2 linked regions of the Canis lupus familiaris genome follow. The main gene of each other region encodes a partner of the protein of the gene in region 2 in a complex. Links are inferred from orthologs where the notes say so. Each region holds a gene or a part of one and is shown on either strand. Other genes may lie near its edges. The genes, in order: PTHLH and KPNB1.

Region 1 (4,376 bases), on a different chromosome or scaffold from region 2:
ACTCTATTATTCATTCTCATGTCTTTAAAAATAAACAAGCACACAATACATACAGAAGGTGAGTTGTACTATGTGTTTGGAGTCTAGCATGTAGGCCTTGTTCTCAAGGTAATCTAAAGTAAACCTACTCGAGACCTGCGAAGACATATAGTCAATCCCACTGAAAGCACTTTTCCCTAAAACCTCACATCCCCTTTAATTCACAAAAGAGACTTGGCATCTTTACTACCCTCTTAGAATAAAAAAAAAGGAAAGATAAAGCACTCTTACTAAAGTTATCGAGAGTAGCCTGCCTTGTTACAGAATCCTTTTTCCCCTGTACCTGAGGAAATGAGGGATTTTGGTTCAGAATCAATCATAAACTTGTGGCAAAACAATGTCATCCTGGAGATTGGAAGGTGAGTCCTGCCTCCCAGGCCATTATTACAGGGACTAGACCCCACCTCTACTATGCATGCTTGCACATTGGAGATAGGTGCCCTTTCTCCAGTTGTAAGATAAATATTTAATTCTGTAAGGATAGGAGTCTTTAGGTTTGCACAATGATACATAGCTTTAAGTTAGTGGAAAATAATTTTGGAAAGCAGATCTTAGTTTCCATGTCATAAAAATATTTCTTTCTAGTATTTTGTCCTGACAGCTCAAACAAATATAATATGAGAATACTACCTGTGGCTTATTTTTTTTTCTTTTGGTTTCTAATGCTGAATTTATAATCTTCTCTTACTTTGTGCGACCACACATATTTAAAATTCCTGTATCAATTTGATTCACTGCCACATTTCCTTCTGTGTAGAAAAGGAAGTTACAGACCTCAAATGGCTTTTACATTGTCTGTGTGATAAGTATACTAAACATATGGGATATCAGATGCCTCATTTCAAGGCTGCTCTTGACATTGCTGCTGTTAATGATTCTTCCATTTCCATTCCATACCAAAAATCTATTGAAAGGGTGAAGGAAAGTGGTGAAAACAGGCACTCCACAGATGCCAGCAAGTTTCCCAATTGGCTAGGATCACTACATCATTCCAAAAGGGATGACTGGGGGTAGGAGTTGGGGTGGGGGGTAGAAATAAAAACAAATTTTGGCAGACCCAAGTTTAGAAGAAAAACAATACTTTCACCGAATTTAGCCTCTGCTCTCTGTCATAGAAAATTATAATAAATACAAGAGAATTGCATTCAATTTTGGTCAAGTATTATTCTTGGAATATGCATTAGTCAGAATTGGCCTCATTAGGAGGGCACTTTTTGAACAGCTATGTAGTGGTTCACAAAGCATGCAGACTCCTGAGAGGGTGTGATTCGAAGTTTAACAAGCTCATTTCAAGCTTGATAACATTTACATTTCAAACAAGGATTCAAACCAGGGCTTTGCTGCTTTACATGACCAGAAGTAGAACAGAGTACATTGCCACAGAAGCATGCAGTGACATTATCAGAATTGCCAGAGCCCACTGATTACAAACCTATCTATTGACACCACAACTAGTATACTAGGCTGCTTTTTTTTCTCTTCTTCGTTAGTCAACAACTGAACCTATAAATGCATTGAATTCACATATCAATCTACAGTGAAGCACATGTTTTTATTTTGCTTCCCTATTTATAATCTTTATTTTGAAAACAACAATTGTGGTTTGGATTTACTATGAGGCTGAATGTTACACATGTAAAGGCTCATAATATTTTTTTCCGGAGGCTCTTAAATCATTTTTAGCTATATTATCTGATTTGCCATCATCACATCAGTGTAAAAGTAGATACAGCATACATTTCCAGATATATTTAATGGATGAAGAAAAGGAAAGGAAGAAGATTAAACAGTTTGCACACGCTTACAGTAAAATTTAGGGGTATTTGGTTGAGGTAAAACTGGACTGCGGAGTAGATCTAAAGAGGCATAGAAGAAAATCTTATCTACTTTTCACTCAGGGCAGAAAGACCGAGCAAACTAAACCTCTACATATCCTGTATCTTGATACGAATGCAAATTCAGAAATTTGGTAACCCAGAGCAAAGAAGCCAATAGCTTAGAAATATCAAATCTATTTACCTGGAGGAGGTGCTCTGGGAAGGATATCGCAGCCTCAACCTAAGAGCAGAGATATTTCTTTCCAGCTGGTTTGGGCTTCTCCCTAAAAACACTGTTGTTGCCCTTTACTTCTACAAAGTAAACAAAGAAACATTCGCACTAGGTGCTGCCAAACTGTTTAGATCTTCAAAACTGGTGCTGATTTCAACCCTAGCACGGAGGTACTTTCCTCTCTGACTCCTTATAGAAGAAAGCTTGACCTGGGTGAAATCACTAGAGCTTCTGTTGAGATTTGAGGAGCATACATACATACATAAGCTTGCTTAAAGCTTTTTGGGTTCCTCTGAGGGAGTAAATTATCAGTGAAACTCGGTTCCTTTACTGGTGCTGATTTACATAGCCTTTCTCACAGAATTCTAGCATTCTCGCCTCTGGCCCAAGTCAGGAAATGCCCAGGTGCGTGTAACTCAGCACTAAAATTAACATCCATGAAGCTTTTTAGACCTCACATATTCGAGTTCAATTTCATTTTGGTAATTAGGTTTCAGGCAGGTTTTTATTTCTTTTGAACCGAGTCATCTAGCCCCGAGTTTTCATCAAAGAATCTTGGTTAACTTTGATTTTTAATTCTCAGACACCCAACTCGTTGAACCACCCATCCTGACTCAATACCCTGCTATTTTATTCCATATAAGGCCTTGAAATGTACTCACCTTACTCAGTGAAAATCCCTCTGGGATGGGAAGCTGCCAGCACATTAGAAATGTGATCTAGAGTCGCTCTGCCCGAGGTTGGTCATATCCAGGTTAGAAGATATCAGGTATAAAATGAGAAAAAAATATTATCTCCCAGCACTTATCAGACCATCTTCTTATAAGACTTTTTCTTGTTTAGTTTTTTAGTTCATTTCTTGGTTTTTCTGGAAAAAATGCTGCAGTTATGTTGCTCCCGCAGCCAAAAATCTGCACTTAATTGGGCACATAAAAAAATAGCAGACAGGAAGTCTATTTCCTCACAGAGAGATATTGTGGTTTATGGACTCTGCTTTCGTACTGCAAAGCCAGTGCATTATTTTATTTTTTAATACACTCCTGGTAAGATGTCTCTGGCAACCCAAAAGCTGTTTAAGTGCCCACCAGAATCAGTATCAGCCCAGGTAGAGCTACTTGATTACCAAATATTAGTTTACTCTGGGTTTGATTTTGAATCAGTCTCAGTTCTTGCATTTTTATGGATGCTAGAGAAATCGAGGATTTCATATTTGTGTATGCACTAAGAGAGTTATACATATTTGTGAGAGAGACCGCAGCATCCCACAAGCAGGGCTGCATTGACTCTCCATGAGTTCTGGGAAAACATTTAAGTTGCCTGTGTAACTTCCGTGGCACACACCCTCAATCCACTCCCCTTGGGAGCCAGAGAGCTTCCTGAGGTCTCTCAGGTTACAAAGGGGAAGGAAGCCTTTATCAGAAGTTTGAAGATTCTTACTTTTCAAGTTGTCTTGCCATCTCCTCAGCCCTATCCTTTACATTGTTCTTTAGTCATGTTAACCTCCTGTATTTGACTCATAATAATTACATTTCTGAGAATACTGAAGATCTCAGAGTTTTAGAGTCCAGCTTCCCCTTGACAGACGAGGAAAGTGAGACAAAAAGGAGTTCATGATTTTCTTTTTTTCCAAAGAGACATGAGACTCCAGTAGCAGAGACAGGACTAAAACCAGATTTTCCCCCTGACACCACGCTGCCTTTCTGCGTGAGTGGAGAAACAAAAATGAAACTTATGTTCTCTTGTCACTTGGTTTAAGCCATAAGACAGGGTACATTTGGTTCTAGGCACTTTCTATTTACTTGTCATGGGCACAATGCCTCATAATTGGGAAGAATTATATAAGCCCCAATTCTTTCCTAGGGCATGTGAGAAACTGCCATTTGTTTTTAGCAACCTAGTGTCATAAAGTTAGTGTGGGCCTAATCCCACCTAAAAGTTAAATGAGAGCTTTTGTGTAATTGCCTTGCCTTTTAATTCAGACTAAGCCACACGTAATCAAGTCTTTCCCTAATACCCTGGCTTTATAGAAACCCAAATCCATTGGTTTGTACAGGTATCACTGGCCTCAGACTGCAATTCTTTAATGCTCCTGGTCAACTCAATCCCTTGAGGGGATTTATGTCATGCTGGTGTTTTCACGTAGTTCTTTGTCTGGGACTAATTTTGACACTTTGCCTGCCAGAGAAGATAAAACTTGGGGTCTTTCCCCAGTCGCTGCCCTGTCCAGATTTGGCTGGGCACTTCATCAAGAGGATCAGAGAGCCTAGACGCAGTCTCAGTTTCTCAAA
Region 2 (3,818 bases):
TTAGTTAACATAATGGAAGTTACGTCCTCTGAAAAGATTTAAGGAAGAAATGGTTTTTGATCACCCTTGCTACTTAATTGCTGTAAGTTATACAAGTGATTGTTTTTCATTGTAGCCATTGGAATAGGTTTACTGTTGCTGTACTTAAACCTGGATCCTCCAAACAGATGGGACTAACATCTAGTCTGAATAGCATTCCTGAGTTTAGCCCTCCACAGGTTCCAGAGGCACCTTTAAAGAGAAAAGAAAAATAAACAAGGATGGTGAAAAAAATTTTAAGAGATTAATTTTAAAGAAATGTTGACATAACCCAAATGTACCTCAGTTGGCCCTTTAGATTACTGACCCATTTGTGTGATGTAGTTCTCTTTGTCAGACTACATTATTAATCCTTTTTTATTTTATTTATTTTTATTTTTTTATTTTTTTTTGTAAAAGGTACGAGTGGCTGCCTTACAGAATCTGGTAAAGATAATGTCATTGTATTATCAGTATATGGAGACGTATATGGGTCCTGCTCTTTTTGCTGTAAGTATTTCTATTTTATGTATGTTAGCATGTAGCTAGTTGCAAAGCCCATCATTCTTGATGTTTTGTCATTTCTGTAATTTTTTACTTAGTATTACGAAACCAAGGAAATTCCTTGAGTCTGAGTGTTATGTTTAAGCCATCAGTAATGTGCCAAGAAGACTTGGGCTTCCTTTGTGGTGGGGAAGAGTATATTTTTAAAATCTATTTTCTGTTTCTACCTTTCATTCAGACCTAGCTTTCATAAATGTACATTTTTGACACTTGAATGTCTGTGGTTGGAAGTGCAGGTCTAACTTGAACCAGCACTTACTTGGTGTCTGGTATGTCATTTTTTTTTTTTTCTTTCCCTCGAAAGATCACAATTGAAGCAATGAAAAGTGACATTGATGAAGTGGCCCTACAAGGGATAGAATTCTGGTCCAATGTGTGTGATGAGGAAATGGACTTGGCCATTGAGGCTTCCGAGGTGAGCCTGGGAGAGAGTTGGTGCAGCAGGAGAATTATTTGTCTGACATAGCTCCCTTTTGGGTATTCAGCTCCTCTGAGAAAGCTTTATTCTGCATGGGCTTAGAGGGCATCTCCATTTGTAGAGCTTTTGCTTTCTCTGCTAGCCAGAGCCCCTCAGGAGGGAGACAGACCCATAATGAGGCATTTCATGCTTTACGGATCAGTCAGACGTGATTTATTATAAATGTTGATGTTACTACCATGAACACAAGGGGGCAGCAGGCAGTCACAATTTAACAAGGTGACGTCCAACGCTGAGTTATTTCCTTTTGGAAGTCCTCATGCAAGCATGGGATGCATAATTGACAGCTTACTAACTCTGGTGAAGGAATTCATTATAGACAAAGGGGCTAGGTCTGCACTTTGTAATCTTTGAACTCAAGCTTTTTTTCCAGCCTTAACCGTCTTGCACACTTTTAAGAACCAGTTTTATTTTTGGCATCATTACGTAAACTTAGTACATCTCTTGATCCAAAGGTTAGTTAGATGACAGCTTCTTAATATGAATCGAGCTTGTGAAAAAGGAATGTAGTTCTTAAGGTTGCCTTGGTCCTTTAAGGTAGAAGATATGTATGGCCTAAAAGAATCCCATTGAAGTAGACCAAAGAAATGAGCGCCTCCAAAGATCACAGCAAATGTTACATTTGCTCTGTGTATTTCTGTACAAACCCCTGGGCAGCTCTCATTGTATGCCTCTAGTACCAGCCTGTTTGCTGCTGTCCAGAATTTGCTTTTATGTTTCTCCTCAGGCAGCAGAACAAGGACGACCCCCTGAGCACACCAGCAAGTTTTATGCCAAGGGAGCACTACAGTACCTGGTGCCAATCCTCACACAGACACTAACTAAACAGGTGAGTTACCTCACAAATCTAGCCAGGGTAAGCCATGAGATATTATTGAGAGTTAGTTTGCTGTGGAACAATTTCCATGAAGGAACTCAGCAACTCTTTAGCTGGTTCATGTTTTGTTATAGATGACTGGGAAGAGCCGAGCTGGATCTCTTAAGATCCTCTAGGCTCTGGGTTGTTTGCGAAGGAGAGCTGGGTCTGGATGTTTCAGCCTTAGTTGTGAACAAGCTACACACGCTGATTCCTGAGTGCTGTACCATGTCCAAAATAATGCAGGAGACATGTGCTATAAAAGTTGGAGTAAAGAACGGTTAGCAAGAGGTATGTGGTAGTTTTAGGCCACTCAAGTATCTGCTAATATTTGGATTATTTTCAAGAGTTCACAGTACGTATATACATTTAAAATCTTGATGAGGTTAGAGAAGAATTATTCTGGAGGTGCCTGAGTGGCTCAGTCTGTTAAGCATTGAACTCTTGGTTTTTGGCTCCGGTCATGATCTCAGAGTCGTGAGATCAAGCCCGCGTCAGGCTCCATACTTGGTGTGGAACCTGCTTGAGATTACCCCACCCCCACCCCCCGTCCCCCTGCACATGGGTATGCGCTGTCTCAAAAACAAAACCAAACCAAAAAAAAAAAAGAGTTACTCTGATTCTTCTGTGATCGTTAACATCAATGAGATTCAGGACAAAATAAAAATAACAGGACTTCATGAAGATTTGAGTCTAATGGGTAAATATAGAAATTCTTTTATGTGAAGTATATCTTGGTTGTCATTCTCTTTTGACTTTAGGCATCAGAGTTTTCCTTGGTATGGTGTTCGGAAAGATTCTTCGGTATAACAATCTCAAAAGATATAAGTAAAGATGTATTTGGTTTGAAATGGACTGGGTGTCCTCTCATTTTCATATCCTGGTTCAGTTTTACAGTTATTTCTTGTGTCTTTCAATCTCAGTATCTTCACTTTTGTATTGTGGTTTTCGTATTTGGAAACAAATCGTTCTTTAGGTATGTAATATTCTGAAGCGGCATAAGGCAACCTGCTTTTTTTTTTTTTTTTAAAGATTTTATTCATTCATGAGAGAGACAGACAGAGACACAAGGAGAGGGAGAAGCAGGCTCCCCAAGGGGAGCCTGCTGCAGGACTCAATCCCAGGACCCTGGGATAACGACCTGAGCCAAAGGCAGACGCTCAACCACTGAGCCACTCAGGCACCCCAAGGCAGCCTACTTTTGAATTACTAGGTAATACGGGTAGCCACAATAAGGAAGATGAACCTTGAGTTCTAGTTTCAGGGGAGATCTGAATGGAATCTTTTTTTCCGTTTAACTTCCTGTTGAACTGTAATAAGTCACTAGCACACCAGGAGCCAGGAGCCACCTCATGCCTTCATCTTCCTCATTCATTCCCTCCCCTTTACCACCACAGATTATTTTATTGATTTTGGACTTCATAGAACTGGAATCATACAGCATATCTTCCTGTTCTGCCTTTCGCTTTCTATATGTTCAAGTTTCATCCTTCTTGTTGCACATAGTGAACTTGGTCCATCTCGTTGTATAGTACTAAGTAGGACTTGCCTCCGTATGCATCTTACTTACCAAAGGCTATGCTGTGATGAATCTTTGTGGAAGAAATTAAAATATAAGGGTTTTATATTATATTTATATCCCTCAAACTTAAGTTCCAATAACATTTGGGAGTAGTCAGAAGACCTTTTGAGTTAGTAATTCTCTTTTTTTGAATTACAGTGATTATTTGAACATAAATTTAACTAGTGCCAAACTCTCTTGTCAGGATGAGAATGATGATGACGATGACTGGAACCCCTGCAAAGCAGCAGGCGTCTGCCTCATGCTCCTGGCCACCTGCTGTGAAGATGACATTGTCCCACATGTCCTCCCCTTCATTAAAGAACACATCAAGAACCCTG

Evidence for each region.
Region 1: the proteins of KPNB1 (region 2) and PTHLH are in contact, whole or in part, in a crystal structure (PDB 1M5N), measured with the Homo sapiens proteins. The link is inferred for Canis lupus familiaris from reciprocal best matches to the Homo sapiens genes KPNB1 and PTHLH. Residues at the interface, in NP_002256.2 of Homo sapiens: Val55, Tyr104, Pro106, Gln111, Glu152, Tyr156, Gln159, Asn196, Leu199, Asn200, Gln239, Glu274, Gln278, Glu281, Asp288, Ile295, Ser298, Glu299, Asp339, Asp340, Trp342, Val350, Met353, Glu395, Trp430, Arg434, Glu437, Asn469, Trp472; in NP_945316.1 of Homo sapiens: Tyr103, Thr105, Gln106, Glu107, Thr108, Asn109, Lys110, Val111, Glu112, Thr113, Tyr114, Lys120, Thr121, Pro122, Gly123, Lys124, Lys125, Lys126, Lys127, Lys129.

The regions. Positions count from the first base shown.
Region 1 is NC_049248.1:26,878,438-26,882,813, forward strand, and holds the start of PTHLH (parathyroid hormone-related protein), read right to left. Parts: upstream 2,983-4,376; 5' UTR 2,751-2,982; intron 1-2,750. UniProt on the Homo sapiens protein: Neuroendocrine peptide which is a critical regulator of cellular and organ growth, development, migration, differentiation and survival and of epithelial calcium ion transport.
Region 2 is NC_049230.1:23,964,547-23,968,364, forward strand, and holds part of KPNB1 (importin subunit beta-1), read left to right. Parts: intron 1-438; coding exon 439-528; intron 529-886; coding exon 887-997; intron 998-1,787; coding exon 1,788-1,889; intron 1,890-3,682; coding exon 3,683-3,818.